2 linked regions of the Lytechinus pictus genome follow. The protein of the gene in region 1 interacts with the protein of each later gene in a pairwise test. Links are inferred from orthologs where the notes say so. Each region holds a gene or a part of one and is shown in the gene's direction. Other genes may lie near its edges.

Region 1 (16,897 bases):
CCGCCATAAACTTTTAAAGACTGTACTATTGACGGAGCTTATTGCGTTACTCTCTTACATCGTTTATGATGATATACATTTTATTTTCAACCTCGTGGTGATAGCGGATGCCGCCGTGAACTTTGAAAGGTCGTATTACCGACGGAGCTCACTGCGTTACTCTCTTACATCGTTTATGATGATATACATTTTATTTTCAACCTCGTGGTGATAGCGGACCCCGCCGTGAACTTTGAAAGGTCGTATTACCGACGGAGCTCACTGCGCTACTCTCTAACCCCGTTTATGATGATATACATTTTATTTTCAACCTCGTGGTGATAGCGGACCCCGCCGTGAACTTTGAAAGGTCGTATTACCGACAAAGCTCACTGCGCTACTCTCTAACCCCGTTTATAATGATATAAATCTTCTCTTCAACCTCGTGGTGATAGCGGACCCCGCCATAAACTTTTAAAGACTGTACTATTGACGGAGCTTATTGCGTTACTCTCTTACATCGTTTATGATGATATACATTTTATTTTCAACCTCGTGGTGATAGCGGATGCCGCCGTGAACTTTGAAAGGTCGTATTACCGACGGAGCTCACTGCGTTACTCTCTTACATCGTTTATGATGATATACATTTTATTTTCAACCTCGTGGTGATAGCGGACCCCGCCGTGAACTTTGTAAAGGTCGTATTACCGACGGAGCTCACTGTGCTACTCTCTAACCCCGTTTATGATGATATACATTTTATTTTCAACCTCGTGGTGATAGCGGACCCCGCCGTGAACTTTGAAAGGTCGTATTACCGACGGAGCTCACTGCGCTACTCTCTAACCCCGTTTATAATGATATAAATCTTCTCTTCAACCTCGTGGTGATAGCGGACCCCGCCATAAACTTTTAAAGACTGTACTATTGACGGAGCTTATTGCGTTACTCTCTTACATCGTTTATGATGATATACATTTTATTTTCAACCTCGTGGTGATAGCGGACCCCGCCGTGAACTTTTAAAGATCGTGCTACTGACGGAGCTCATTGCGTTACTCTCTTACATCGTTTATGATGATATTCATTTTATATTATCAACCTCGTGGTGATAGCTGACCCCGCCATAAACTTTTAAAGACTGTACTATTGACGGAGCTTATTGCGTTGCTCTCTTACATCGTTTATGATGATATACATTTTATTTTTAATCTCGTGGTGATAGCGGATGCCGCCTTGAACTAGTGCTGTAGCCGAACCGCCGAACCGAACGGTAGTTCGCCGAACATGGCACTTCCGAACCGAACAGAACCGAACCGAACACTAAGACTTGGTTCGGAAGTTCGGCAAAAAAAAAAAAAAACGGCTTTCAGCTAATAAATTTATACATGTAAGTTTACACCCTTTCTAATCATTATATTTGCGCATTCTCTAATCTTCTTTGCAATTGTATGTTGGAAGTATGCGCTTATTTTGCGGTTACTAGATTTTGTTTTCATTTTCATGTTGACATTGTGGTTTTTACGGCCCTGATTAAGAAAGGAGATCCGATGAATGATGTTGCGCGAGCTTGCGCTATAATCATTTTACTGGCTTTCATCATCTCTCGCTCTGTGGCCGAATCGCCGAAGCATGGTAAAGAAAACCAAAACTGTATGAGTGTTCATTGGTTAAATCTAATTATTTAAATATTGTTGTTTTTAGGTGGCGAACAAGATTCTTGTTTGAAAATCTTCAAAGTATTTTGAATGAACGAGCTCAATAAACTGAAAGTGAAAGATGAAGTACCATTAATATTACGAATTACGATACGTGATGAAGATCGTAACTCGTGTATTGTTGCGGCGGAGAATAAAGATCTGATTGAGGTGATTAACATTATTATTGAGGTGTCGGCTCGCTACTGTCTAGTTTTCATGATTCTAGAGAGAAGTAAAGAGTTTTGAAAACGAGAGATCCAGTGAAAGTGGGAAATAAAGTGAGTGACTGTTAGAGATGGAAAGGAGAGACGCAAAACAAATAATATAGAAATGAGATGAGGTGAAGTTATCTTTTTTATTATTAACAATCAGATGAAAATAAAAATCAAACACTCATGAATGATTACGGTATAGCATATAGCAAGATCCCCTTCCCCTCGTTGAAAAGTTGAATGAAGATAAAGCGGAAACAGTCATCTCTTGGGGGAAAATGACCCCCAATCTTTACTTTTTTCCCTTTCTTATCAACTTCTCAAATTAACCATAAACAATTCGATGATCACTCTACTCCCCCTGTCCCATTACAGTCGTAAAACTTTGCATCCCACTTTGTCTGTATGTTCATGGTCGAATGAAATCTGACCAATAAAATCATAGAAATCTCGGCAATTGCTTTTCAATCGGTGAGCTGAGTTTCGCGGGTGACAAAGCACGTGGCTGTATGTACCAATGCGACAATCAGCGACATGCGATTGGTGGTTTAGTTCACCCATCGAGCCAATTAGCGAAAGGCGCATTACATAAGCACGCTTTCTTCGACACGCCCCTGGCCCTACTATGCCTGCAGTTCAGTGCACTGGCGCTGGCCGCCTCGTATGTGATGCAATGGCCAATCACGTTTGGCCGGACTGTAAATATAAATATTCATGAGCTCAGAGTCCCGCTACAAGGGGACTGCATGCGCTGGCCTAACTGGTACCGGTACGAGTGCGAGCGTAGTTAATTTGGCAAGTATCCAAAGCGTGGTCCAGGTATGGACGACGAGGAAGAGTCGCCATTTTAGAACTGTGAGTTACCCAATAAATCTGTCATCAGATAATCAAATTCGAGATAACAGTTGATTCGTTGAGCGCTATAACTTTCATAGTTTCATGTCAGCAAGATAGAGATAAAATGGTTTGATGTGACAGAGGACACGCGAGCACATGCAGTCAATCAAGTACAAATTGTCTACCGAAACGCTACGTATACCTGAATGAACTATAACTTTTATCAGTCTATCATTACCGAACCCCGAACCGAACCAATGTTCGGCAATTTTCTGCCGAACCTTGCCGAACCGAACCGAACCCGAACATGGCGCCTGACTTGCAGCACTACCTTGAACTTTGAAAGGTCGTATTACCGACGGAGCTCACTGCGCTACTCTCTTACCCCCTTTTTTGATGATAGACATCTTCTCCGTGAACTTCAAATTGATTTGAAAACGCTAGCTACCCAAAACATTTTAATAACATTTCAAATCATCGTGCGTGCTTGCGTCTTCTACTTCATTTTAATTGCACTTGCGACTTTAAGATGATGCGTCGTAAGAGATCATTCCAATAATTCTAAATCGCTAGCACCTAAAAATACTTCTAAAAGATGTCCCGCCGATCGTTCATTAACCTCTGATCTATGAGAAATATTTTCATTTTATTTTCCTTTGCGCCTTTGCTCGGAAGATGCGTCTTTCGTTTATCTTTCTAATAAAAATCACTCGGTTTATTTTAAAGCAATAACACCTCAAAACCCCTGGCTTTAAAACATGTTCCAAACGATCGCGCATGTTGGCGACTTCCATTCCAATGCATTCGTCTTTGTGACTTTGTCAGGAAGATGCGCGCGACCGCGAACAACATTTTGATGTCATTATTCCTTTGTTTTTAAACATCGCCGATTCGATTTTCGATTCGATTTCGATTTTAGAAGCTTAACTGCCGATCCGATTTTCGATCTGATTTTTGATCCGATTTACAACATTAACTGTATCAGACCTAGACCAAAAGCTTCTGTCTCTGTTATTGGTTGTTCCGCTGAACTCCGTTGGCTCCACTCGACAATTACAGAGACCGAAGTTCTAACCCGATCTGTACAGGGACTTGATCTCTGTATGTTTATGTATGAAGTTCGGATGAACCAGTGAAAATGGCGTTGCGCGACAGCCAAAGTCACTGGTTTTTTCCTTTTGAAGTTTATTTTTCCCCGTTTTGGTGCATGCCATTTCAGGCCAAAACGGAATACATGTACTTTAATTTAGTCCAGTTCTTTTTATATATTTTTATGAAATAAAGACAAGAATCGATGAGTCCCGGCATCGGAGGGATCACAGGCTTCACAGCTGGATTTTGCATTGTTAACCCCCTAATGGCGGCTGCACGATCGCGAGCCGTCTGTGTACGAGAATTAAAAAAAAATTAAAAATGTTAAAAAACTCCGCGAAACAGACTGCTGCCAGCTGTCTATATCAGTCCTACCTCGAGCGAAGTTCATGCAGGCTCCACTCCACTTCACATCCTCACACATATAAATAATTCGCTGCCGGTTTCAAAACATCGCATGCGCGAGGGTCCGAGCTTGGACCGGACCCGGCACCTCGCACATACAATGTATCGCATCCGCATGCGATGTTTTGAAATTGGCAGCGAATTATTTATGTGTGAGGAACTTCATGTTGGCTCTAAACTAAATCACCAATTTTGAGACTGATAGAAGCATGGAAAAGAAGTGAAACTTAGTGTAAAGTAAGAATATTATTATTAGTTTTATTGTTTTTATTAAATATCGTGATGTTGCATGAATTTTATATTTCCCCCCCATAAAACCCCACCTTTCATGTCCTTTGTCACTCGGAATATCAGATCGAGTTCACGGTCTCGAAGTTCGGGTTGGTGGAGCGTAGTGTAGCGGTAGTGGACTCTGTGGAGTGGAGCCTGCACGAACTTCGGGTTGGTGGAGCGTAGACGTACATGCATGTAGTGACTAGTGACTGTAGCTAGCGCCAGTAGCGGTAGTGAAGTGGAGCCTGCACTGCAGGCTGCACGAACTTCGCTCGATCGTATCAGACCACATGCATCAGTAGGCCTACCGAATTTGGAGCCCATTATCCAGCCTTTCACAAGCTTCATTCTCTCTCATTAGCCGACCCCCTGGCAAAAATAATCCGGAACGACCAGGCCATGCTGCATGCATGCATGTCGGGCGCGGCGCTTGCTGCAGGATCAGGAATAAATCCCAGCGCAATTTGTACCGGGTCCAGGCCGACTCTTCCCCGATCATGACGGCTAGAGTTTCGTCTAAATGGAGTCTCTGATCATGCCCGACAGGCGCGGCGCAGCGCGCACGCCTTATTACTTAGTTTTTTTTACCTTTCAGCTATGTATAATGTCCCCTTAGACAAGTCTTGTTTCTCCACGAAAGCAATGGTGTCATCTTTCTGCCACCTCACTGATGACTGTGGAGGTTGAATTGAAGCGATAAATCCCATCATTATTTCCCTTCTTTTTTTTCAAGACACCCGCGTGATGGCGATATCTTCATCGAATCGACTAAATTTCGTTGGGTTCATTCGACAGAGATGGCGCTGTGCCAAATAAGGTCCATGGCCATGGTTCAACATCGACCGTTCAATTCAATTTTTATTTTGGGGGTTTTCGGAAAAAAATGTAGATTTTTCATTGAAAGACTGTTTTGTGTGTGTGTCAGATATTAAAAGGTAAATTATTAGAGGCTTATTTTTTTATAAAACGTATGGATTTTTTTTTATAAAACGTATAGGACGTATAAAAGGCATAGGGGAGGGGTAAGGTACCGAAGAGGAGAAAAAATACCGAGGAGAAAAGGGGAGAGAAATGAATGAAGAAGAGAGAATAGTATGAAAATTAGAAGTCGTAGACACAAACTCGTCTCTATTTACCCATATAACTAAAAATGTCTCTAGAGAAAAGTATAGCCTAGGCTAGTAGAAATGAACGACAAGTGCCCATCATTAGCTTTCGATCAACTCACACTAGTCTTCCGCTGAGAGAACCCCGATCGATCTATTAAGTCATTTTTTTTAGTGAAAAATCTTTAAACATGGGGTATTGTATTGGGGTATCAGTTTGAGCTTGAAAATCTGTAAAGGATAAGCCCACCCCAACAAAAAGATGGTTTGAATAAAAAGAGAAAAATCAAACAGGTATAACAAATAAATTTTCATCAAATTCGGATGTAAAATAAGAAAGTTATAACATTTTTAAGTTTTGCTTAATTTCACGTAATAGTTATTCACATACTGGTCGGCATGCAAATGAGGGTACTGATGACCCCGGGCTGATGGCATCCACTCTTTTGTATTTCATTACATGGAATATGAAATATTCTAATTTTCTTCTCGTTGTCATGTGAAACAAAGTTTTATTCCTCCCTGAACATGACTGAGTAATTATCATTAACATTTTGTGATTCTATAACTATAGTAGGCCTATCAAGAGGGTCATTATTGTCAAATCTGCAAAAATTTAAATAGTTATTTTAAACAATAAAAAACAAAAGAAATAGTGAGTCAGGAACATCATCGACTCTCTCATTTGCATTTTAATGAGTTATTTATACAACTGTTTTGTGAAAAATATACGCGAAACTTTAAAGTGTCATAACTTTTTTATTTTATATCCGATCATTTGATGGAATTTTCAGTGTTATGCTTTTTTTATTTTTCTCTTCAAATTAACTTGTTTTTTCCTAGGTGAACTAGACCTTTAAACATACCTTGTAAATGATTTTGTCTTTTCGTAAATTTAACCCATTTAAGTCATTTTTTCCCAGTTTTCCAACAAACTTCAATTTTTGCGTCCGTCAGTAAACAATTTTTTTTTTAAAGTTACACATGCCATTACAAACGACTAGAACACAACATGGGTCTCTTTTAGGAAGAAAATCCGTAATAATAATGGGTACCCCCTTTCACAAAAAATAATTGAAAATAGGCACGAGTTTCAATTAAGGCTTCATCTGTACAACCCCTCCGGACCGATAAATCGTTGATTTGGCTCAACAGGTTGTGGAGGCTGAAAAAATACAATTATTTACTTTTTTCATATTTTTTTTCTTTATTTTATTTTGCCGGATCTCGTGATTATGAATTTTAACTATCAGTATCTTTAAAACCCCAACCTGAGAAACCAATTAATTGAATGCTTTATAAACATGATTTTGTACTCCATTTTTTTTCAGCCTCCACTTTCTTTTTCAATAAACGTATTTATTATTATTATCATCATCTCATTGGGATTTTTTTATTTTTTTAAATATACATATCTTCATTGAGCATTGAGAGTCAAATTAAGAGAATATGCAAATGATATGTTATACCAACCTGAATACAGACCGTGATCTTTTCTCCTCTGTCAGGTAATTTTATTTTACATAAATATGATTGATTTTTTTTTATAGATATGTATGTCCTTTTTTCTTTTCCTTATTTTTCTTTTATCTTTTTTCCTTCTATTCTCCTCTTCGTGTTGTTATTGTTGTTGTTCTACGTGTTCTTTTTCTTCCTTTCCTCCTCAATTCTTCTTCCGTAATTCTTCTCCTCCTCCTCCTTCTTCTTCTTCTTCTTAATTTCTTCTTCTTCCGTTCTTCTTCTTCTTCTCTTCTTTATATATTTTTCTTGTATATATCATCTCTATATCTTATTCATTGCTTAAAGTGAATTGTGATTTCCTTTTTGTGTGTAAATAGTATAAATTTACCTTTTATTATTTCAATTCTATTTTGGCCTACATATCGATCGAGGACCCCACTGGAAATAAGCTTTCGAGCTTTCGTGGGTCTTCCTTTGAAAGCCTTTAATGTTATTATGTTGTGGCCGGTGACTTACCAAGTAAAATTCATCCATCCATCCATCCAGTGGCGCTGGCGTACCTAGGATTTTCCACAGGGGGGGGGGGGGGGCAAATTCGTCCGCCAAAAAAATTTGACAAGCAAAAAAAAAAAAAAAAAAAAAAAAAAGGTCTTCAACCACAAATAAATGATTTTGTACCAGATAAAAATTTGACAAGCAAAAAAAAAGGTCTTCAAGACTCGTCAGGGGGGGGGGCAGGCATATGTCCCTTGCATGGGTTGTGACTCGTCAGGGGGGCAGTCTGCCCCCTCTGCCCCCCCCCCCCCCCCGTAGGTACGCTAGTGCATCCATCCATCCACCCATCCATCCATCCCCCATCCATCCGTCAGTCAATCCATCCATCCACCCATCCATCCATCCATCCATCCATCCATCCATCCCCCATCCATCCATCCATCAATTAATCAATCAATAGCCCCTCTCCCATGCCGATCGTGTGGCCGTGGGGACGGGGCCCTAATTCTGTGACTACTGTTTCTCGCTGATCCTCAAGTATCGCAATATGCATAGGACATAGCCCTTGAGAGAGGAATCAGCGAACCTCTTGCACACTTCACTGTTGATGTTGTCGACTTCCGCTAGCTGCGGATTATATTTTTAGGAGTGGCTTTTTGGCAAATTTTATCGATCACCGATGACAAAAACGTGAGTGTTTCTATCAACTTAATACTTGTTATTGAAAGCCTTTGATGTTGTGAGCTAGAATACTTTTAAACCACCAATTTCCAGTATATTTCCTATGTATTAGCAGTTCCTATAGTCAGAAATTGTATTTATTTATGGAAATTCTATCGCGCTCAGCATGAGTCAACGGAGAAGCAGTTAGCGAATGCAGCGGATTCTGAATGCTTCGCATACCGGAGTTGCCCCTAAGCACGTCGGCGAGTTAGAGGTCAAACCCGCTAGCTGAGAAACGTCTACTGCAGTGGTATCTGATTACAGTGCTGGGTAGCATGTATTTTAGACGTTTTCTTTACAATTATTGTAAATGATCAAATAGAAATTCCCATATGATGTAGGGCATGTAACTCTTAGCCTTTAGGACTAGTACTAGTACTAGTAGTAGTAGGACTAGGACTCACTATTTGTATAAAATTAAAAGTACTAGTGATGGCAGTGTATATAGGGCCTAGTAATAGTATTATTATTGCCTGACATGACACCTTTAATATTTTCAGTGCTTTAAAAATGACAACTAGAGGAAATGCAATCAAGAAAAATTCACGCTTGCTTTTCCAAATATTATGAAAATTATGAATATGATAACATTATTTTATATTTACCAACCTATTTCTTCGTATCGCACTTGCCGCATACCCCTCCACGAAAAACCATTATTTTTGTGCGCGACAAATTACATCATGATTCCGGACGCGCGCCGGACGGGTAAAGATATCCTTGATTATAATGATGTAAGAACAAATTTTTGTGATTTTTTTCTTCTTTTATCATATCATGAGTAAATTCTAAGTATTATTTGCTTTTTTTATATCGAATCTGAGCAGATGTTGGTAATAAATTCGTGTTTGATAACTTTTTGTCTTGTTAGCTGCATGTTCCATGGCACTTTCCAATAATAATATGCACGCGTTCGTATCGTGACGCTCATCAAGTTCTATCGATGCGCTGCCGATCGACGGCTCTACTCACGGTAAACCTCGCGCACGGGTACCTTGAGAACTAGCCGTCAACGATCACCCACAATGCCCCACACCTCGTCATTCGATCGAAGGAGTGGACGAGATTGAAATTCGGCAAATCAGGCCCATATTTCCGTTAGAAAATATATCAATTGTTAATACAAAACTATGTTATATGATATTTTAAGCATTTTCTGTAATTTTTAGAGATAATTAGGTAAAAGTTTGATTTTTTGCTTTGTTTTTGCAATCTTGTTCTATGTATTGCTCTGTGAAATTGAATTGCGGAAGTCTTACGGTACGAATTTGTTTTAGAACGCAGTGATACGCGCGTCCGGAAACATAATAGTGTCCGGTAATACAATACGTGACTATACTACTCAGTCAGACGGCAGGTCCCAAGAAAGTGGCTTCTTTCATCCAAGTGATAATTGATATTCATGACTTGAGATGTTTTGCATATTTAATGAGCTTGATGCGGACCAAAACACCTCTTTTCATTCGGTCTTTGCTGCTCTACTTGTGCATCGAATTTCATGAATTTGGTATCATTGTAAAGAAGAAGAATCATTCTTTTAGTTTTAGGTCATGTGTTTGAATTCATTCAAAGATTTTGTAATATACTGTAGGTTAAAATTTTGATCTAAAATATGCTACAAAATAATTATTTTCACATGAAAAAAGCTGCTTATTTTTGTTTGAGCCCAAATGATTTTTAGATCATGATAAAGCTGAATATGTATGCTTTAAAATGACATAGGTTTCAAAATAAGAATTGGTTTAATCGGGTCAAGATCACACTTTTCATTTGCCAAGTACATAAAGCAGCATGAAAACAAGAATACTGCACTCTGATTGGTCAAAGAGACCACACACTGGCAAATTCCAACGGTTCCAGTGCCTGGGTTCATGGGAAGGTCACACTTCCCATGTGGTAATCTCCTCAAATACCCCGCGCCTGTTGTTCTGTGAACCTTATCCAGCCAATCAGAACTCTGGATTTCATGCATGTACAAAATTTCAGAAATCTCGTCTTGTACCTTGGTGGGAAAAGTGTGATCTTGATCCGATTAAAAGGTGCCGCATATCAAGAGTGGCATTGTGAGAAAGTACAGAAGTTCAGCTTTATGGTGATATAGATATCATTGAGGCTCAAAATAAAAAGTTTTGCACAATTTGCAAAAGAAAACAGAGGAAGAAAATTCAGTTTTGAGGCACATTTTCAGGCCAGAAATTTACTTATTTAACAAAATATTGTATACAAAATAAATGACCAATATGAAAGAGTAACATTTACTCTATCTGATGGTGCAATAATATTTCATTTAACTTGAGGTTAAAACAGGTAAATTCTAAGAGAAAGAAAATCTCACGAATCACGAGATTTTGCAAGGAGGAGGATTCAGCCACGAGATGATTTGGATGAATCTGGCCTTTTTGCTCATTAGCATAGGGACCTGCGGTCTGACTGTACTGGTACTACTTTACTAGTAATAGGTACATTACATGTGATGTAGGGGGGTTAATAAGAACTGAACTAAAAAATAGGGCAGGCGGCAGTCACAATTTGTGTTGTCTTTTTGGTTGTGTTGCTGTCCATAATTAATAATCATCTAGACTATTAATAAAGTTACTGTCTACGTTAACTAGACTAAGACACATGTAGATCTAAGTCTAAGTGTTAAGTGTCGTACACGAAGATATCTACATTATTATATTATACATGTAGTAAATATACATGTTACTTCACATTATTAAAGGACAAGTACACCCCAACAAAAAGTTGATTTGAATAAAAAGAAAAAAAAATCCAACAAGCATAACACTGAAAATTTCATCAAAATCAGATGTAAAATAAGAAAGTTATGACATTTTACAGTTTTGCTCAATTTTCACGAAACAGTATACATGTATGCACATGCATCCTGGTCGGTATGCAAATGAGGAGACTGATGACGTCATCCACTCACTATTTATTTTGTATTTTATTATATGAAATATGAAATATTCTAATTTTCTCCTCATTGTCAAGTGAAACAACGATTAATTCCTCTCTGAACATGTGGAATTAGCATTATTTAATACTATATCACATGGTTCAGTCAAGTTGGTCCTTATTGTCATATCTGGTAAAAATGAAATATTGTATAATTCAAACAATAAAAAACCAAAGAAATAGTGAGTGAGGGACATCATCGACTGTCTCATTTGAATGCCACTGAGTTGTGCATATTACTGTTTTGTAAAAAAAAAAAAGCAAAACTTTAAAATGTCATATAAACTTATTTAACATCCAATTTTGATGAAATTTTCAGCGTTATGCTAGTTTGATTTTTCTCCATTTATCCAAAGTGCTCAACAATTTTCTGGGGTAGACTTGACCTTCAAGGACAAGTCCACTCAACAGAAAGTTGATTTGAATATAAGGAGAATAGGTCTAACGTTAGGGCCTAATCTAACTAGCATAAAACTGAATTTCATCGAAATCGGATAAAAAAAGAAAGTTATGGCATTTTAAAGTTTCACTTAATTTTACAAAAAAGTTTAATGCAGGATTTCTTTTGTATTCCATTATGAAATATGAACAATTATAATTTCCCCCATATTGTCAAGTGAAACAAAATTTTATTCGCTCCTCCCTGTACATGGGGTAGTACCATTACATGTATCTTATTTATAGTTTATGATTAAGTTAAGTTGGTCCTTATTGTCATATCTGTAAAAATGAAATATTTTATAATTTAAACAGTACGGTAACAAACAAAATAAATAGTGAGTTAGGGACATACATGTAATCGACTCTCTCTCATTTGCATATCACTGAGTTGTTCATATACATGTACATGTTTTCCTTCTGTGAAAAATAGAAAATAATCTATTCATCATCATCATCATCATCATCATTATCAGTAGCATCATCATCATCAGCATCATCAACATCATCATCAGTAGCATCACCACCACCACCACCACCATCATGATCATCTTAATCATCATCCATCATCAGTAGCATCATCATCATCATCAGTAGCATCACCACCACCATCATTACTTAGCATCACCACCACCACCACCACCACCATCATCATCATCTTAATCATCATTCTTCATGTACATGTATTATGAAATATCATTTTTTTTTTCGTATCAAGCCTACATGTACAAACACACCAGGCTTTGAGTAAGTAAAGCAGGAATTATTTATCTGAGGTTGGACTGGCATTACTATTTTTCACGAGGGGCAAAGCCCTGAGGGAAAAATAGTAATTTTGCCAGTACAACCGAGGATGAAAAATTCCCTCTATACTTTCGATATAAAGGCCAGACCAGTATATTTGTTTTATATCCTACATTCAATAATTTAGAACAACAGATCTTGATAATCTTGTTCTTGTACACGTTCATCCTTTTTTTAGTCTGAACCAAAATATAGATAACGCGCTGCGCTGACTGACCTACTTGTCCTGAAGCTACGTGCTCAGTGGAACACGCATTTGAGCCTGTGCCCGAGAGACTGAGCAATCTGTGTCAATTAATGATCTGTGATGTCAATGATGGAATAGTGCACTATTCCATCATTGATGTCACGGAATACTGGTAGTAATTTCTCTTCAGTGGGTATTTCATTTTCAACATTTCAAAATAGTGGGAATATGTTTGGTCACATGATGCTATTCAAACCAATCAGCATACATACACGATTCAATTTTTGTAGGATATAATTATGTTTATTATCCAGGTTACATGTACAGTGTAGTTCAAATGTTGCTATTATTAACTCATTCATTAATTTACAATGAAAAATTCTGATATCATTAAAGGAGACTTTAAAAAACATGGTACAGTGTATTTCAGTATTTCTAAACAAATACATTGTAATTGATCCAACTTGCTATTAAAGGCCTAAGCCTTAAAGAGCAAAAACTACGTAAAAAGTGTAACTCAGTTGCTTTATCCTAGTATTCCTCTATTAAAAGGTCAAAACTCTGCTAATCAGTATGAAGCATTAAAATACCATGGAGGTTGATTTATTGGGGTGCTGAGCCTTATGAATATGATGTAATGTACTAGGCCTATATAATTATGTAATTGACAAAGTATTTTTTTTTAATGAAATGAGCTCAGATCAAATTGTCATATTTTGTACATCTCAGGGGCTAAATCCCTCTCTGGCCGCACTCCCTCTGTATTTTGTTGGCATTTGATTTTTATTTCTTTCTCTTTTCTCCAGGAAGGAAATGTCGCTTTTGAAATCCGCGTGTGTGCGATGCAACACTGTATTTAGAGAAGATCAGCGGATCGTCAACTCAAGTGGTGAATTGTGGTGTGAAAAGTGCTTTGTGTGAGTATACTCCAGTTGTTATTAGTGAGGAGGGGGGGGGGGGGGGTGAAAGTCCTGCACGTTTAAAGGGGAAGATCACTCTAACAGAAAGTTTTTTGTAAAAATAGCAGGAAAAGTAACCATTGGCGAAGGTTCAAGGAAAATCCAAAAGAACAAAAAAGTTGCATGTATATTTTATAGAATTTTAATTATTTGATTTGTGACGTCATATAGATGTGAGCAGCTTTCTACATACCATATGGTAACAAATTTATGAAATGTCATTTTCTCAGAAAATTGAAAATGGTTTTAGTGTACCTTCATTATCAATTCACAAATCATTTCACACCTGCTGCTGAAAAGAAAATAAAAAAATAAGTCATCATGAACCATTTAAAAAATAGAATTTATGCATTTTATATTACATAATATATGGGGCAACTACTCATTTATGATGTTACAAATCAAAAACTTGAAATTATGATAACTTTCTTTAATTTACATGTATTTTCCTCAAACCTTCACCAATATATTGTTTTTCCTGCTATTTTACAACAAAGTTTTCGTCAGGGTGAACTTCCCCTTTAATGACCAGTATGTACACTGACATTGGTATGGCAAGCAGTTTCACATTTAATCCCGTTTTTTATTTTTATCAACATTTACCATAAATGTAAACACAGAGCATTTGCCTGATTTGGGGCTTGAATGTGTTCTGACTTCTTTTAAGCCCTTTGACTGTCAACCCTCCAGGATAGCAACACAAATTTTGTTTAAATATAAAAATCAATTTTTCTGTCTACAGCTTTAGTATAGGGTCAGTAATGTGAAATACATGTACATTTACATGTACAGTATGCTTGAGTATCATCAACATTTGTATTACATAAACATACATGTAGTAGTCATTGAATGCATTTTTTACTCATAAGAATTTATGGCATTATTTCTGATCAATTGGATTTAAATTTAAATCTATCGCCCCCACTCAGAAATTTGTTTATTTTTTTTATAAAAGAGGTGTTTGAGCACAAACTTGGACGTTAAAAGGCTTGTGTAAAGACTATCCTGGACTTTTCAGCCCATAAGTTGAGAAGATGTTTAATAAACAAGACAAAAATTCTCAGATATTCTATTTGATCGGGCATGCGATAGAATTTAAATCTGATATAATAAAAAAAATTTAAGAAAAGTAAATTTATCAAATAATACACATTTTTAGTTTACGATCCTTCACGCAATCACACCACAACTGTTCAAACTGTTCTGTAACCTTGTATACTGTAGTACATGATGTAGTGTTCTACATAATAGCATCAAGATTTTCCCATGGGGCTGTTGATGTCAAACAATGTAGAATTAAGATGTTTGGGTCTTCTAACTGATGATTATGACTAGGCTTACATAATACTTTCTTTGCTGCTTGAAGGGGGAGTTTACCCTGACAAAAAGTTTCTTGTATTAAAAAAATGGCATAAATATATTTTTCAAATATTGGCGAAGGTTTGACGAAAATCTACAAAAGAATAAAAAAAGTTATAAATGAGAATTTAGTTAAATTAGATTCATGACGTCATTTGCAAGCAACTTTTGTAATGTATGGTAAAAATCAATAAATGGCCATTTTCTCAGAAAATTGAAAATGGTTTTTATTGTATATTCTGTACATGTACATATATCACTAGAAACATCATTTCACACCCACTCCTAAAAAGAGAAGAAAAAAAGTCATCACAAACCACAAAAATTGAAATTCATGCATTTTGTATTACAGTACATAGCGTATTGGGCAGCTGCTCGTACATGTAGGGCCTACATGTATGTCACAAATCCAAAACTTCAAATTCTAATAACTTTTAAAATCTTTGATGGATTTTCCTCAAACCTTTACATTTTCAATTATTTTTTCTGCTATTTTTTACAACAAACTTTTCATCAGGGTGAACTTCCCCTTTATTAAAAAGAGTTTACGTTTTGATACAATTGTGCTTCTGACAGGGGTGTGAGAGTTTAGATTTTTATCTGATTTTAGATTTTTTTTTCCAGCTTAATTTCAGCTTATTTTTGGCCTTCCTCTGTACAAAAAGTATGGGAGCTCTTTCTATTTCAGACTTTTTCAACACTCTTCAGCTTTTTTCAGATCTTTTTATTTGTGACCACTCACACCCCTGTTCTGATCGCTTCCACTGTACATGTATGTACAGTACATGTAGGCTACCGGTACTGAAAAGAAAAGGAAAAGTATAGGGCGTACACTACAGTACATGTACAGTACATGTAATTTGTGTCCATGATAGTTGATACCTGTAGACAAAGTTTTTAACATTTTTATAGTGTTTGAAAATTATTAAAGGTTTGCATATTTTACATCTACATACATGTACACTGTACGTATGTACATAAAATAAAGTCTGTACGATCGCACTCCTACATGTAGACTGTCATTACATGGATACTGTACATTTTGGCTAGTGTTTGTACATGACTTTGTGAACAGGGTCTGGTATATGCATCAATCTCATTGACTTCAGGCACACCCTCCTGTATATGTGCAATGTACACAGTGACAAAGTATGTATGGAATGGATGACTGGTTGGCTCTTCATTTACTCTGCGCGTTAAGCCAGATATTTCAGCATAGTCTTGGTTAAAGACATGGAATGATACATGTACTCCTAAAATAATTTCAAATTTTCTCTTACCAAATTTGATATCAATTTTGGTCATTTATGTGAAAAGCTCTCATGGTCTAGAGTGTACGGTATCTACAAGTAAATATCTGCTACGCAGAATAATTTTTGTGTAGCAGTCAAAAAAATATGTAGCAAATTGCAGTGCAATACTAGGAAAACTATTCTCTGTAGCAATTTTAATAGCAATGCACACCAAAGAAAGAAATTGTATTGACCTGAAAATTCAAATGCAGATTGCAGACAGTCTATTTATCATATAATTGCCCTAAATTCTAAGAAGTTTTCATGAACCTACAGTATGAAGATAGAACTTCCTTTTCAAAAGAAAAAAAAGAACTATAATGTAAAACTCAGTATTGTACTAAACCCAACCCAATATCTATGGGTTTTACGGGTTAGTTGAAAGAATCTGGGCTCCGTATTAAACACAAAGATTAGCGATGAATAGCAAATATATGAGAGAACACTTCTGATTGGTTCCTCGTCAGTATTTTGCGCCGGATGCGCGTGTAATGTTGATCTTGATTGGTCAGTAATGATTGATCGCTAATCTTGTGTTACGGAGCCCTGGATTAAACATGTGGGATGTTCAAAGATTTGATGAAAATGAATTGTAGTTTGAATATAGGCTAGAG
Region 2 (16,632 bases), on another chromosome or scaffold:
CCATCTGTCTGTCTTTTTCTCTCTATCCGTCTATATATCTATCTTTCAAATTATATTTATATCTATCTATCTATCTATCTATCTATCTATCTATCTATCTATCCATCTCTCTGTCTTACTCTCTCTCTCTCTCTCTACTTCTATCTATCTATCTATCTATCTATCTATCTATCTATCTATCTATCTATCTATCTATCTATCTATCTATCTGTCTGTCTGTCTGTCTGTCTATCTATCTATATATCTATCTATCTATGTCTCTATCTATTTATCAGTCTTCTATATCTATCTTTCGGCATCTAAGTGTATCAATCCATCAAACTTCAATTTTCTTTCTATTATATGCATCTGTTTATTTTTATTTTGTCTGTCATTCTATTCATTTAGTTAATTATTTATATTTAGAAAAAAAAACTTTTTCATAACTTTTCATTTAAAAAAAGTAACTGCAAAAGCATGTTCGGATTTCACTCATATGACTGCTCTCTGCACATGAAGTGCCGAGGAACTCTATGCTCTGATCAGTAACTGTGCAGATTGCATGCGGTGGTGTGGGACTCGCCTGTGTCGCACGCTGCAACCAGCGACGTGTGTAGACTCTTCACTAGTCGCTTTGTGGCTATTTTTGCGGAAAATGCCTTCGCCAGGGTGTAAAACGGAAACGCGCGGGCGGGCGGCGGGGGGGGGGGGGGGCACTGAACTAGAGATACGTGGAATACGTGTCCCTATTCCCAACGTACACAAAGCCGTGCGGCAACGAAGAGCATCGGGCTTCACGCTCGACTGAGCGCGCCGCCATTTTGCTAGGTCAATACTGGCTGGTCGACAAATGCTGCGTGTAGGCAGATGGGAGAAAGGAACGCATAGAAAGTGTTCCTTGTGCTGTTTAAAGTTTTAGTTTGCTTTGTTACATCATGAACTATATGTTATTGAATACTTTCATAACTGAAAATGTTGATTTAGTCAGATTTTCGTATTAAAGGGGAGTAAACATAGCCTATATACAGACATGAAATCATAAAAAAATCGACCTTTTTCACGCGCACACTGTGACAAAGAAAGGCCCCACAACAAATTTGCTTTCTGAGTAGGCCTACAGTTTGTCTGAACAATAAAGGCATTCTAGCTGGTTGCATTAAAAAAAAAAATCTTTTAACGATTAAAAATCATGTCCCTTTTCTCTAGCTTTTTTTACACCTCCCTTCTCATTCAACTATTCATCTCATCTCATTTATTTCTAGTTCAGTGGGGGGGGGGGGGGGGGGGGACGGGAGGCGAAATTATTTTTCCCACCGAGTTCTGGACCAACATATGAATATTCATGACTTGCGTCTTCAGATTGAGAGTACGCATGCGCAGTGGACTTGGCCTCGACCATACCAGTGCCGATCGTAAGCATTCACGTTGCTCAGAATGAATTTTCCTTGTATTATTTTCTTTGGCCAACAAGAATGTTTTAAGTCTTAATGATATTCTGAAAAGATTTGGTAAACTTGAACACAGTCTCCAATTTTGTCATATCCAAATGGGTTATGTCAATGGCATAATGAGCCAGAAACTTTGAGGGGCCAAGCATGGCATATATAGAGCAATATTTCTGTCAAAAAAAAAGAAGAAAGCGATTGAAGCGAGCGAGTGAACAAAATTTGTCTCCCTCTTTCTATAAGAAAAGCTAATTTTGCAATAGATTGTTAAAAAAATAATATCACATTTACTCCATCTTTTCGTTTCCCTTCCCCCCCCCCCCCCCCGTGTCTAAGTTTATTCTTGGTGGTGGGACTTCTTCTTCTCTCTATCTCTCTTCTAAATTTTATATTTGTTTTGGGTCAGATTGACAAAACAAAGGGGAAAAAAATTACTTCTTTTTAATCATATATCGTTCAACATTGAATCTCATTTCTCTACAGTTTCAAGGAAATAAACAACGTATTTGTTTTTGTGTCAATATGGTTTCAAGAAATAATAATTAACAAAAAATAATTTAAAAATTAATAATTATTAATATTATCAATAAGTATTAATAATTAATGATTAATCATCTGTTTAATAAAAGTGGTTGTAAGCAGAAAAAAAAAATGAAAACTGACAAGAGTCCTAAAAATTACTCATTTTCAGTTTAAGCATTTGAAAATTTTAGCTTGCGCTTTGTGCTCTCTTGCCCCCCCCCCCAAAAAAAAAATATGCCCTTTTTAAAAAAGAAATACCTTTTTTAATAATAAAACATAATACATTTTAGGTTCGAAAATCACAGATTTTGAATCGTGCTTGCATCAATTATTGTTTAGTACAGTACTGCTAATGGTTACAAAAATGTATAGAATGTTGCTTTATGGTTGAAATATCACAAATATTTGGCTTGCTTCCTGCACTCGCATCAATTATTGTACTCGTTCTCTTCCCGTTCACAAAAAAATGCTTAGAATGTCCAGTTTTCAGGTTGGAATATCACAAATTTTTGAGCTCGCGCTTTGCGCTCGCATTATTTTTTATTGGTGAGTTATGTATCTTATTTAAAATGCAGTAATTAACTGCTTCCTTTACTGGTCAGTATATAAAAAGAATTAGCGAGCGCAAAGTTATTTTTTAGTTAGATACACATCTTTTTCATGATTACAAAACCAGCTCAGAATAAAATAATGTCCATGTCTTATTATTTATTTATTCATTTATTATTTATTTATTCATTTATTTCCGTTCAAACAAAAGATATAATCAAAGTAAAGTGTAAATACATGTTCAAAATAGTACATACAGTTCTATAACATTTCATAACAAATATTGAAGATAAAATTATCTGAACGGAGGGACTTGCCAAGAAAAGCAGAGCTTGTAAATAAGGCAAGTCCCTAAACATAGTTCTAATACTAATTAACATAACCTATATACAAGAGACGGGTGGAAAACAAAAATAAAATACATAATCTACAAAATACCAAAATAGAGCGTATAAGCGACAACAAAAAGTGGAAAGTAATTTGAATAATTGGAGTGATAACGATAATGATGATAAAATTTTTAATAGAAATTATAAGAGTGGAAAAGGGAGGCAAAGGAAAGAGAGGGGAGAAAAGGGTGGTGCAAATAAAACTGAAAATAAAAAGAGGAACATGACAGGTGCACAGGTCATAGGACACTGTAGTGACATTATTTAGAATATATATTAGACAAATTTGTTGATAATTAAATGATAGTTGTAAATACGTTTAGTTACAGTTATATATTAGCTTGACTTGTTGGTGTGGAGTATTGACAAATTAGCATCTTTTTAAGTTTGCGCTTGAAAATGTTAATGCTTGGTGATTCTTTAAAATCATTGGGCAGTGAATTCCAATACACTGGTCCAAAAAAGACGAAAGAGTTTTTTGCTAAAAGAGTACGGGTTGGGGGTAGATGATAACAATTACGTTGTCTCGTTGGGTAATCATGTATGGAGGAGTTTTTACAAAACATATTTGAAAAAAATGTGGGGAGATCATTTTTATTTAGTTTATACATAAATTGGGCGAGTTGGAAAAGATATAAATCATTCACTTTAAGAATATTATTTTGGAAAAAAAGGACATATGTGTGTGATCTGAAATGAGTTTGAAAAACATTTTGAAAAAGTCTGCCCCCCCCCCCTTTGGTACACTAGTAGTGGTTCCATGCTGATAGCGCGTAGATCAGAGTCTAGATCTAGAGACTAGACTAGAACTAAGATATTTATTTTAGATCTAGGACTGGTTCTGTATACGGACTAGACATATTAAACCATGGTAAATAAGCTAATATTAGTCCAAACCCAATCAAACGTAAAGTTCGGAATTAAGTTCGAAGTTAACCATGGCATTAGTCGGCTATTCCTATTAGTATTAGGCATTAGACAGGTCCAGATTTGAGGTAAAGTTAATGCGCTAGCCTAAGCTAGCCCTACCCTAGCACATGTCCCCGGGGGGGGGGGCACTCGACCAAAAAAGTGGTGGGGGTGTGCCGCGGGCGAGACAAAAAACGGGGGCCTTGGAGCGGGCTTATTGTAAAAAGGAGGGTCCTCGGAACGGGCTTCGGAACTACAAATGTTTGTGAAAACGGGGGTCCTTGGAACGGGTCGCCTGCGTGCGAGTGCGTATGTATCCCTATGGAACGTGCATGCAGCTGGGCTGCGGCACGACTGCCGGGCGCGCTAGCGCAGAGGCGATGGTCAGACGGCGAGCTGCGGCCGCTTTTCACCAAAATTGCGACCGGAACGGCGTAACGGAAAATATGCGAAGCCCTATATAGCTGGAGCGGATTTTTTTCTTCTTTTTTTCTCGAGAAGAAGAAAATGCTATGCTTTGGAGCGGCTTTCTTTGTTCTTTTTATAAATAAGACAAAAATGCTATGCCTCGGAACGGAAATTTGAGTGTAAAAGTGGGGGTCCCCCCGGGGGTCCCCTCCGCGGCACATACCCACTATGCATTATATACTGAGTGCCCCCCCCCCGGGCACATGTCTTGCCATTAATGGCAGCTAGTTTAATAAGTGTTTAAGAATTGGATGTATATATAGATCTAAGCCTATAAGGCCTATGTAACTATGTAAGGGTACCGGTAATTTGACGATGCTAATTCATTCTGAGCAACGTGAATGCTTACGATCGGCACTGGTCGAGGCCAAGTCCACGCGCATGCGTACTCTCAATCCGAAGACGCAAGTCATGAATATTCATATGTCGGTCCAGAACTCGGTGGGAAAAATAATTTCGCGGACGGGAGGGGGGTATCACTATGCCCTACATGTATTTCTACTAACTGCAACTAATCCCGGGGGATGAGGGGGATACACCCCCCCCCCACACACACACTTTTCGGAGAGGGGGAGGATGGCAATTAATCATCCCCCCCCTGCACGTACACTTTTCAAGGCAGAAACAATCATCAAATGATTAAAAATTAAGATATAAGATAAGATTTTATTAAACTATCGACCCCCGATCGGGATCAGTATGAAATTCTCGACAAAAACATATAAATAATGAATTTGCGTACACATTGAACATGCGTATAAAAATGAACATAAAATTATATATTTTACAATATGTCACAGGGGCCGCGGAACCGGGGGGCTGGGGGGGCTTCAGCCCCCCCCCCCCCCCACACTTTTTTTTCCAAAACCGTGTACAAAAACGTAAAAATGACCATATGATTGTGATTTTTAGCATGGTCAGCCCCCCACTTTTGGCTCAGCTCCCCCCCCCCACTTTGAAAACCGTTCCGTGGCCCCTGTACAGTCATAGGCCCTAAAAATGAACATATTTACAATGATGAATACAAATGTTTGCATAAATTAAGTACCGCATGATGTTGCATGCAATAGCTAGGCTATACACCCGGGGCTATATACAACAACAAACAACAAAACCCACTATAAACTATTATTGTCGTGTTTAGCACAACATTGTAAAACGCACTGGCCCATATTCTGAAGTCGGGTTTAACTTAAACTCGGGTTTATAGTTGTGGTTTTAAGTATGGATATAGCCAAGTGTTACATTCATACCGAGGTTTTTTTTACCTGACTGCTAAGAAAGCACGAATGCCTGTGTGCAAGCTAGCAACCAGGGGACCAACGACTTAAGGTCCTCTCCGAGGGACCTGGTAATGAGGATAAATGCCTTACCAAAGGGCACTATAGCGCACCACTTGGGAATCAGTCGAACCGCTCTACCGACTGAGCTATCGCGCCTCATAAATCACTAACAGTATAGAGATATCAAATTTAAGCTCACTTGGCTTTCAAATCATTCATAATTGTCTAGGAAGTATAAATAGCTTGTCTTCACCATCGATGAATCAGGAAAGAGCACAGTAAACATAAGAAACATACAACTTAATAAAAAAAAATGACACTTTTGGCTTCCCATAACTTTAGCACAGATCGAGTTAGACCATGGCAGTGGCGGATCCATCAGGGGGGCACAGGGGGCGCACGCCCCCCTAATATTTGAGCGGCGCCGAAGTCGCCGCTTAAAAAAATTATACACTGATATAATATTAGCAACAGTAAAGGAAAGACTATCCCCCAGCAAAGACTTAACCCCTTTTTCAACATTATGGCGCCGGTGAAGTGCAAATGAAATATGTGCGCCGCTCGGCAGTACGCCCCCCCCCCCTTTCGCCAAAAGCTGGATCCGCCTATGCATGGTCTAAGTTAAACCTGACTTCAGAATACGGGCCACTGTGTTTAACCATCCTACATGCACTGCTAATAGTTACATTCACTCTGGTAACTGTATAATAGCCTTTATCAATTACTATATTGTAATGAATTTTACAAGTTTTTTTTTTAATATGGCACCTTTTACAATCTACCCATTTGGCAATATTTGGTAAGCACACATCAGGGTCCTATAGAATATTCTTTGGTTATGTATACATGTACATCTATCTTTCTTTACTAAAGAAAGAACACACAAAATGGAACGCATCTCCAACTTCCTTCAGAGAGCATATAATCATTCACTGATTCTAGAATCGGTTATTGATGGGTACACCTTTTAGACCTGCATCTGAATGACACAATGTGGTTGCATCAGTGTCACTTAAAATTAGGAAATATTACTCAAAACCCCATTTTCCCCCGTCATCTTTTGAACAACTTAAATATACGATTTGACCATCAGTTGGTACATGTTAATAGAGGCCCATGCACCCTGACGTGTTAAAATTACACCCTAGAGATTGAACATAACACCAAAGAGTGTAAATGTAACCAGCAAAGGTGTATTAATAACACCTATAGACACTGTAGACACTGTCAATTTAACACTGGTTTAAAAATTATTGTGGTCCTCTATATGTACACCGGTTAAAACCAGTTTTTGCTGTGGACATAATTTTTTTAACGCAACTTCGAGAGTTTTAGGAACCAATCAGTCCCAATTCTCTTCCCGGATCACTTGTGATAAAAATATTAACCAGAATTACACCTGCTTTCTGAAGTATTCAGTGCAACTCATCCATTTTTACGTGAACTGCATATTATAGTTGTTAATGTGTGGATTCATTTATAAAAGCGGTATAATCCCCATGCATGATTAGCTAAATTGCAAGTGTTGTTAGCTAAATTGAAAGTCCCCTCCTACGGTCCTGCATCATGAGAGTATATCAAGAAAGTTACTTTCAGGGGCGACGATCCTGGGGGCGGCCCCCAAACTTTTTGAAGCACTGAAAATGTGCCCTTTTCACGCAAGAAAAATACCCCCTCACGATCGTGTACTGTGCCCTTTTTATCGGAAGAGGACCCGTTTGGGTGTTACCAAGTGCCATTTCGTATAAGTGCCATTTTCCCCAAAAAAATGCCCCCTCACAAACTTGTTCTGTGCCACCTTCATCTGAGAAGGACCTGTTTTATGTTTGAGCAAATTCTCCCTTCTTGTAAGTGCCCTTATCGTATCAGTGCCCCTTTTTACCCAAGACTAAAATTGCGCCCCTCGGGAACATGTCCTGTGCCCCTTTAACCTGAGGAGGACCCGTTTTATGCCGTTAGCAAGTGCCGGCCCCTTTTCCTTCTTATTATATAGGTGCCCTTTCTCATATCAGTGCCCCTTTTTACCTAAGAAAAGTGCCCCCACGAACATGTTCTGTGCCCCTTTCACATGAGAAGGACCTTTTATATGTGTTAACGAGTGCCCCTTTGCCTTCTCATAGGTGTCTGTTCTTCACTCAGATATAGATAATTTCCGTGCCCGATGAGCGCCCGTTTTCTTATGGTGCCGTTCTGCTTCCTTCTGCAAGTGCATAATGAATGAAAAAACTTGTAGAATTAATCCTACGTGCCTTAAAGGGATGCTCCGGGATGAAGATGTTTATAGAGTAAAATTCTTAAAGCAAAGTGCTGAAAATTTGATCCATAACAAATAATTTGCATTATTCCGGTGAAACAGTTTTAAGCATGTCTTCATGAATATTCATTAGGTGGGCTGATGATGTCACATCCCCACTTGTTCTTTTGTATTTTATCATATGAAATTAGGTTAATTCAAAATTTCTCTACCAAGAACTAAAACAATTATTGGATTGACATCTGATTAAGTGCATTAGTTACCCGGGGAAGGGGGGGGGGGGGCAGTCAAATGTATTGCTGTATACACACGCATGGCCAAATTATTTCCAAACACACCCTAAACGAGTTTTTCTCTGTGTGCAAAATAATCCCCTAAAAAAGTTTTTCGTTTCACGCGTGCATGTCATGTGTACAGCAATATATTTCATTGCCCCCCCCCCCGGATTAGTTATTTCTTGCTGCACCTTTTTCGTGTTATTTCGTAATAATGGAGGCACGTCATTTACACATGTTATGAAAAATTAAACAATTATGATTTCATGTAATACCATAAGAAAAAAGAAAGTGGGGATGTGACATCATCAGCCCATCTAATGAATATTCATGAAGACATGCCTAGAACTGTTTCATATCGGAATAATGCAAATATTTAAAATTCATTGATTTTTTGCTATTGATTTTTTCCACTGAAAGTTTATGCTTGCTGCCCTTCCCCCCCAGCGAAAAATTTCTGCATACGGCCATGTTAAAGATAGTACCCTTTTCGAAAGAAAAGGTGCCCTTTTCCCCTGTGCCCCCCCCCCCCCGCTTTCAACTTCACTCCGCTGCCCCTGGTTAGTTTAATGACTCGCAAAAAGGTCAGAATTATTTACAGAATGATAAATTGTGTACCTCAATTTATGCTAATAATGTTTTATAATGATTTTCTCCAGATTTTGAGCTAAAATAATATGGACCTCATGGAAGAACAGTATTTGTCATAATTATGTTGACAAAACTGAATATGGGCTAGGCCTATCCATCGATCCGTTTGTAAACGGAAAATAAATACTCTACCTCATACCGGCTATAGATTATTTGTCATTCTCAGAAGATTTTTATTAGGGCAATCAACTTGAGCAAATTCGATCAGAACAACTTCCAATCCTGTTCATTTTATCTTATAAACCTCAACAGTCCTTAAAATATCACATTTTCAGTTCAGTGGGCTCTTACACTTTTGTATACGTTACTTCATATACGAGCAGCTGTTATATATGTCGTGTAATATAAAATGAATAATTTCTTTTTTAAAATGTTTGATGATGACTATATTTTTTTTTCTTTAAGGAGCGAATAAATAATTTGTCCATCTGTTGATATACTGAAGGTACAATAAAATCATTTCAATTTGTTTGTTTTTTCTTATGGGGAAGCTGCTCGCGCATCACAATTCAAAAAATTAAATTCTAATAACTTTTTAAATATTTGATGGATTTTCCTCAAACCTTCACCAATTAATATCTTTTTATTATTTTTCTGCTATTTTTACATAAACCTTTTGCCAGGCTATATTCGGTGGTTGGGGCACTGAAAGTTATAAGCCTATATACGACCAAGAAAAAATAAGAAAAATAAGAAACAGAAAGAAAATGAAATAAAAAATTGAAATGATTATGATACCATTTCAGGATCTATGAAAAAAAATGCAAAGACATCACGCACTCATTATATCCCGGTTTATTTATCTATTCAATTATTTAATTTACACAGCCGGGTAGTCTCTTCAGTATATTTATATTCAAAATCAGCTTTGACTTAACATTTTAAGCTCTTCAATTCAAGGAGCTTGTCGATTGGGAAATAAAATGGATGTACAGTACACCACCACGATTCCCGCCCCACCCCCACCCCCATATGCTGAACTTAACCCCGCCCCAATTCCCTACACTGCAAGAATTCACTTCCGGTTTGACAGCTACACCCTTCTACTCACACCAGACTTGAGCCAAATATTACTCTTTTTATAATTATCACTGGAAATTAATCCTCGAAAATGTCTAAATCTGTCAAAAAACAGGTTGATGATGCAAGAGAAAACAGGCACCAGGATCTCGATTTGTCGGATAAGAGCATTTCAAAACTGCAGGACATTCCAGGACTGTGTAAGTATTTTTCTCCGGTCCCATTCATTAATATTGGTGTAGGCCTAGGCATAACACGGTCTTACATGATGTAATTTGGAAATGCTTCTGATGAGTGAAAACAAATAATACAAATCAATTTTTAAACTGTGATGAAATGGCATTTTGTGGGATTTATATCATAATAACATGGTAGATCTGCTCGCATATCTGTAACATAAAAAAATAAACTAGAATTAAAAAACTTCACTTCTTTTGACAGTTTCTTTTAAGTTTGGCTTTGGCTTTGCTGAGTCATGAGATGAGTGATACATATGTATGTTCTGCTTGTATTTTGCTGCTGCGAATACAATTTTAACATGATGTGAGTGTACAGTAATAATGCCCTCTGCATCTAGCCTAGCTCCAGATGAAGTCAAACCAAAATGTACAAATTTATTTACATTTGTCTAAGTCCTAAAACTTTCATGTTCACTGTCGAAAAAAATGTGTAAATTTTCCAACTAGTAAAAATAAGGAAGTTCACCCGAAAAATCCTGAATACTAAAAATATTGTGGTAATGAATTTCAGAATTTAGTCACTGTAGAGTTTTATTGGCATTCCTTAAGAGGGGTTAGATGTCAAATGTGTGTTAATGAATGATCTTTATCTTCAATATTTTCTTTCAGTTTCGCTCAGTAATCTTGTGAGGCTGACTTTGAGCCACAATAAGATTGATGGTAAGTTCTATAATTTTTTAATTGCTCCTCTCTTTCTCTCAATTTCGAGATCTGTCACTTTCTTTACCTATTTTTCTCTGTCTCTCTAAATGGGCTGTCCCACAAGGTTATATCATGTCCCACAAGGTTATATCATAACCTTGTTCATAGAATGAGTGGTCACACCCTAAGATTTAGCAAGCATACGTTAGTGTATGTATGGCAAGCTGTTTTAATGTTTGAAGTTTTAATCCTATTCCATTTCTTGATATATATTGAAGTAATACTATTATTGATATCGAGAATAAATTTCTGGTATATATTTTTGTAATGTTAACAAATGGCAATTCATCTTATCAAGAGTGAAATTATTTATATCAAGCAATAGCTAATTTGAAAAAAGCTTGTTATAGATTACTGTACATTGATGTGTACTTCCTTTGCATATGATTATTAAATCTTAAACCACCCTTTTCTTGAGGAACTTATTCTAGAGTAAGAGTATATTGCGGAAAAGGAAGAGCAGATCAGTTACAAAAAAGTGTACTACCGATTTCCTGTGACTTTATAGTTTTCAGGGGAAGTGGTTTTTGTAAGCTTAGAAAACATTCTACTTTTCTTCCCCTTCAGTTTGCTGCCTTCCAATTCCATTTCTAATAAGCATTTGATTTAGAATAGGCCTTGTTATTCATGCAAGCCAAAGGTCGGCTATATTATGTTTGAAGTTTGAAAAATACTTCTGTCTGGTTTGGTCTGGTCATTCCTATCTCCTGTTTTGTAAATTGAACATGCAATGTTAAAAGAGGGAAATTTGTAGATGGTGATCTATTTATCTCTGTGTAGATACCTCAACATTACAGTGCATGTAACAAATACTAGTAATAATCTGCCAATTTTCAAGGGTTGGTTCAAAGCTGATTGAATCAGACTTTAAATTTACTTGAATATGAAAGAGCAACTCTTCTACTTTAAACTGATATTAAAATTTACTTGTAAGAATTCAAACCTTTTGCAAGACTTTGCAAGTAAGAAAAAGATGAAGCTTTGACTGATACCTCAATGATAAAGTACTCTACTTTTGAATTGTGGTTATTTTAACCCTAAAAGGACTGGGGGCCATGATGCCCCCCCCTCAACGCTTTACGCAACATTTCCAAAACGCAAAAAGATAGCGCCGCAAAATTTTATGACTTTTTTCTTTAAAGTCTTGCGCAACTTTTGAGACCAAATTCGCCACATACAGGTATAGCATCGTGGCGTCACGTGACTTTTTACGAGACAATGTCATGCCGAAAATGACTCATTTTTATACTTTGTGTACAAAGTCTATGGGAGATGAAATTCATAAAAGGGTGATTATTTTTCGTTCTAATTTGGTCTGCTTAACCCTTTAGCACCTGAACCGCCCGAGACCGCCCTTCCTATTACACACTGAACCGCCCTTAACCGCCCGTACGTTTTCTTTGCGCTATAGTATCTCTTACCGTGGTAATATTGCGTGTGCATACCGTATAGGTTGGCTGCTACATAGATCTGCATAGAAAAGTGTATGCTTCTATTGAGTATAATAGAGAAAAACCGATTGACATGCATCGGTGTGTAGCAAGTTCCAGACTTGCGCAGTCGATCTCAGCAAAGATGGCTGCGTCTATGTCTCGGAAAACCACTTACTTCGCCGAAGAAGCTCGGGTGTTGCTATATGTTCATCAAAACGTTGAATATCACACAGAGTGACATCTAGATGTGAGTTGGAATTAATTTTTGACATATTTGATCCAAGGTTTGGCGAAAACTTTAGTATTCTGTCAGTGATACTTTACATTTTTTTTAAGGCGTGGGACTGGGGCGGCTGAAACCCGAACTTTTGTTTTTTTTCTTCTCGCTCTGCAAATGATTGTCAAAGGTCAATATTCATACATCTGATTGAACTTTGCCATGTACCATTCTATTCAACAGGTCCTATGCTACAAAATAAATATAACTTGTAATGAACAAAAGTAAATTTATAAAAAACTATTTCAATTTGTTTGGAACAATGCCTACTTATTACCAGTTTTATTGTTTCCTCCAGTGAGTAATTGCCATTATGCATAGGAATCTGTAGGTGCTATAGGGTTAATTAATTTAGTTGTTAAATGGTCTGTAATAATTTCCATTAAAAAAACAATGAAAAACAAAAGATGAAAAAACAAAGAAATACATGAATTCTAAAAACAAAGAAATACATTATAAGGAAAAATTGGCTTTCGCAACTTTTCTCTGTGGAAACCTTTAAATAATTATTTTCAGAATTTTTTTATACTAGCTTGTAGTTTAAGTGGTAAAGAATGTTCTTGCCAAATTTCGGCGCGATCGCGCGAACGACAGCCGGGATCAAAAGGGGGGCCATCATGCCCCCCCCCCCCCCCGTCCTCAATACATCTCAAATAGCCCAGTCCTTTTGGGGTTAAGTAGCTCTATATGCTACAAGTGTTATTTATTTGATGCAAGCCTAACGTCAGTGTAGAATTCTTTCTCCAGCACCCAACTATTAATTATAGTCACCATTTACTTTGCACAAATATAACAGTATATATCTATATAAAATCTTGAAGTTGTGAAATATAATTAATATGCGTGTATATTTATTTTGTATCTAGTTGTTCCACCACATATAGTAGAGCTGACAAATCTGGAATCCCTCAATCTATTCAACAACCACATAGAGGAGCTACCTACAAATATAAGCTCGATGCAAAATCTCAAAATCTTAAATGTTGGGTAAGTCTCTTAAATTGTAACTTATATTTCTTATTGGCTGTTGCAAGAAACTTATATTCAATTGCAAATCAGGCATAAGTCCCTTAATCAAGAGTAAGATCATTTTGTAAGAAAGTTTAGTTGCAATTGAAGTATTTAATGCAAAATCAACAACAAATTTTCTTTTAGATTATAGGAATTGAACTTGATTTTTGGACTTACACTTAATTTCGAATTGAACATAAGTTTCTTGCAGAGCCCCATAAGATTTAGTTTTCGTCATGTTGACAAACTTTACAAATTTATACAGTCATTGAAACCTTTTCCCCCATTAAGGTAGTCTAGATCTGGACATTAGGAGTTATTTGTTAGGACTCACTCACCTTTCACCAATACATTAGTCCTCTCTCTTTTCACCTTCTAGTAGGAGAAGGTGAGAAGAGAGAAGACTGATGTATTGGTGCAGGTGAGTGAGTCTTAACAAATAATGTCCATATGTAGACTACCATTAAGGTGGCATTGTCATTTCAATTTAATTTCAATTTGTATGAATTACTTTCTCAATTTTATATCATCTATTTTGCCACATAAGATCAAAGTACAAGGATTTTAAGCTAAAATAAATTACAATGTTTTTACCGGCTTTCAGTATGCCCAAGTCGGGGGTTCAAAGACAATGGCATCATGATCTGTCCGAAGCAATCACATTCTGGTGACATTTTTCCCATTCAAGTACATGTACATTTCATGCTGACAAAAGATCTTAATAAGTAAAACTTTAGGGATTCTTTTTTTTACTTTAGCTTTCTCACAATGGCTTGCTAAGTTTATTTGGATGGCCGACCTTGGGAGATCAAACTAAATTAACATGAATAAAATGTTATTGAGACAACATTGGCAGAGACATTCACAATAAATCTATTGACAAAATGGAGAATATCCATCCAAAATAGATCCATGGCAGTTGACACATGTATGATTCCTTCTGTGCGAGCATGTCATGGTATAAATCTCATCTTTTAATCAGAGGGTCGTGGGTTTGAATCCCAGCCATGGCGTGTTATCCTTCAGCATGGAGTATACCCATATTGTGCTGCACTCAACCCAGGTGAGGTGAATGGGTACCTGGCACAGTGTTATCCTTGAATGCACTTAGCAGTGGAATGGCAGCTCCAGCTAAAGTCGGGGTAATAGTGTACCTGGGATTAGATAATAGATGCACGTAGCTGGTGGTATAGAAATGCCTATTATTATTGTTATTATTATTTATTGATTTCAGCATGAACAGATTGTACAGCTTACCTAGAGGCTTTGGATCATTTCCCAAACTAGAAATACTGGATCTCACATACAACAACCTCAATGAGAATAGCTTGCCTGGAAATTTCTTCTTATTGGGTAAGTTATACAATTTATATACCTCCTTTCTGTTTCTCTTTTATTTTCCTTCCTTTTATTCTAATTGTTCTAATTCTTCCATTTATATTTCAAGCATTCTTTCCATTATTCTTCCTAAACATATAGGGAAGAGTGAGAGGCACATTTCCAAAACTAAATGTAACGGAGAAGAAAAGTGAAGGAAAAAAATAAGAAGACAAGCTGAATGAGCTAGAAAGCAATTCAAATTGGATAAATTAGTAATATCCCAGATACGGAAAAGTTTTGCTTCTTTCTCATGTGTTTCAACATACATGATGAATTTTTCCCCTCAGAATGTTCATTTACAGGAGTTTAATTCCTTTTATGTATTGCCTATGTGCACATACCGGTATTCATATTTTGTCTTTGATGTAAGTTTACTGGCTCTGTCTGAAATGACACTTGCAAGAAAATAAGAACAATTTTCATACACAACTACCCTGGGAGTAACCACATGACAACTTTTGATATCCACTAAATAACAATTGCCAATTTAGTAAATTCACAAGGAAAGGGATTCCACTTTTCAAACCATAATTTATCTAAAATTCCTGCCGTCACTCTTGGTGAGTGTTTCATAAAGCTGTTTGTAAGTAATGAATGACTTTACACAAATTGGTGACTATTTAGCTGAATTTGCACCTAAGAACTTGTTGCAGTCGTGCGTAAAGTTAAGTGTAACTTTACAGCTTTATGATTTTTTTCCTTTTATTTCATACCAATAAACTCATTATTCTGGTTTGATTTGCATTTTATTATTCAACATTGTATGAATATATCTTTCTATAATAGACACACTGCGAGCACTGTATCTCAGCGACAATGACTTTGAAGTGCTTCCTGAAGAAATTGAACAGCTGAGCAAATTAGAAGTGGTGAGTAACAAACTAATACTTTAAAAAAGATATATTTCACCTCATTATTTATTTACTTTAAAAATATGTATTTGAAGTACAATCAATTCTAGTAAATCATTAACAAAATGTTAAAGAAGAAAAAAAATAAAAACTTGTCAGATGAGCTTGAAAAATGTCATGAAATGTTTCGTATTATTGAAAGGAAGTATCTGTCTGAGTGTCTAGACTTTTTTGGGGGGGAGGCTGGGGGTAATCATCATGGTGCATCTCAAGGATATATTATATTTAGAGAGATGGCACATTTTAAATACCTAGTAGTGGTGGTGTGATCAGGTGGGTGTTTCATAAAGCTGTTTGTAAGTTAAGAGCGACTTTAAGAAAGACTGGTGATCCTTTCTTGTGTTAAATGGTATATTCATTGGCGATGGTTTAGCCCGTAAGAAAGGATCACCAGTCATTCTTAAAGTCGCTCTTAACTTACAAACGGCTTTATGAAACGGCCCCCAGAAGCAACAAAATAAAGACAGTTCAGTTAGGCAGTAATGTCAAATAGAGGTCCTCATCTTTGGAGTACTATTCCAAACCACCTTAAGAATCAACTTTCTGTTAATAGCTTTAAACGTTCCTTTCGATTATTTTTATTAAACTTGCACTCAGTAACTTAATATTATACATGTATGTTCACCACCACGACTTTGACTTTTTCGTTTTTGTCCCCCCCCCCCCCTCTTACTATCACATATTTATTTTAGGGTCAACGCTCAACAAGTCAAATTGCTCTTTTTTGTTGACCCCTCATTCAACATAAATTGTTTTCTTTGTTTTTCTCTTATGTTAAGTTATTATCTTAAATGCTATATTCTATAACCATGTAAATATGTTCATCATTTTTTTACTTGTATCTTGTATATGTGTTTTTATGAAGAATGAAATAAGATAAATTAAATTCAATTCAATTGAAATAAATTATAAAGCACTCCTGATTCATTATGCCT

Evidence for each region.
Region 2: the proteins of LIM and senescent cell antigen-like-containing domain protein 1 (region 1) and ras suppressor protein 1-like interact in a two-hybrid assay, tested with the Drosophila melanogaster proteins (3 studies listed by BioGRID). The link is inferred for Lytechinus pictus from reciprocal best matches to the Drosophila melanogaster genes stck and ics.

The regions. Positions count from the first base shown.
Region 1 is NC_087260.1:17,717,261-17,734,157, reverse strand, and holds the start of LIM and senescent cell antigen-like-containing domain protein 1, read left to right. Parts: upstream 1-8,050; 5' UTR 8,051-8,242; coding exon 8,243-8,253; intron 8,254-13,479; coding exon 13,480-13,590; intron 13,591-16,897. Other genes in the region: methylosome subunit pICln-like, read right to left, coding at 5,090-5,211.
Region 2 is NC_087247.1:32,135,103-32,151,734, reverse strand, and holds the start of ras suppressor protein 1-like, read left to right. Parts: upstream 1-9,724; 5' UTR 9,725-9,835; coding exon 9,836-9,944; intron 9,945-10,592; coding exon 10,593-10,643; intron 10,644-13,261; coding exon 13,262-13,382; intron 13,383-14,640; coding exon 14,641-14,759; intron 14,760-15,572; coding exon 15,573-15,655; intron 15,656-16,632.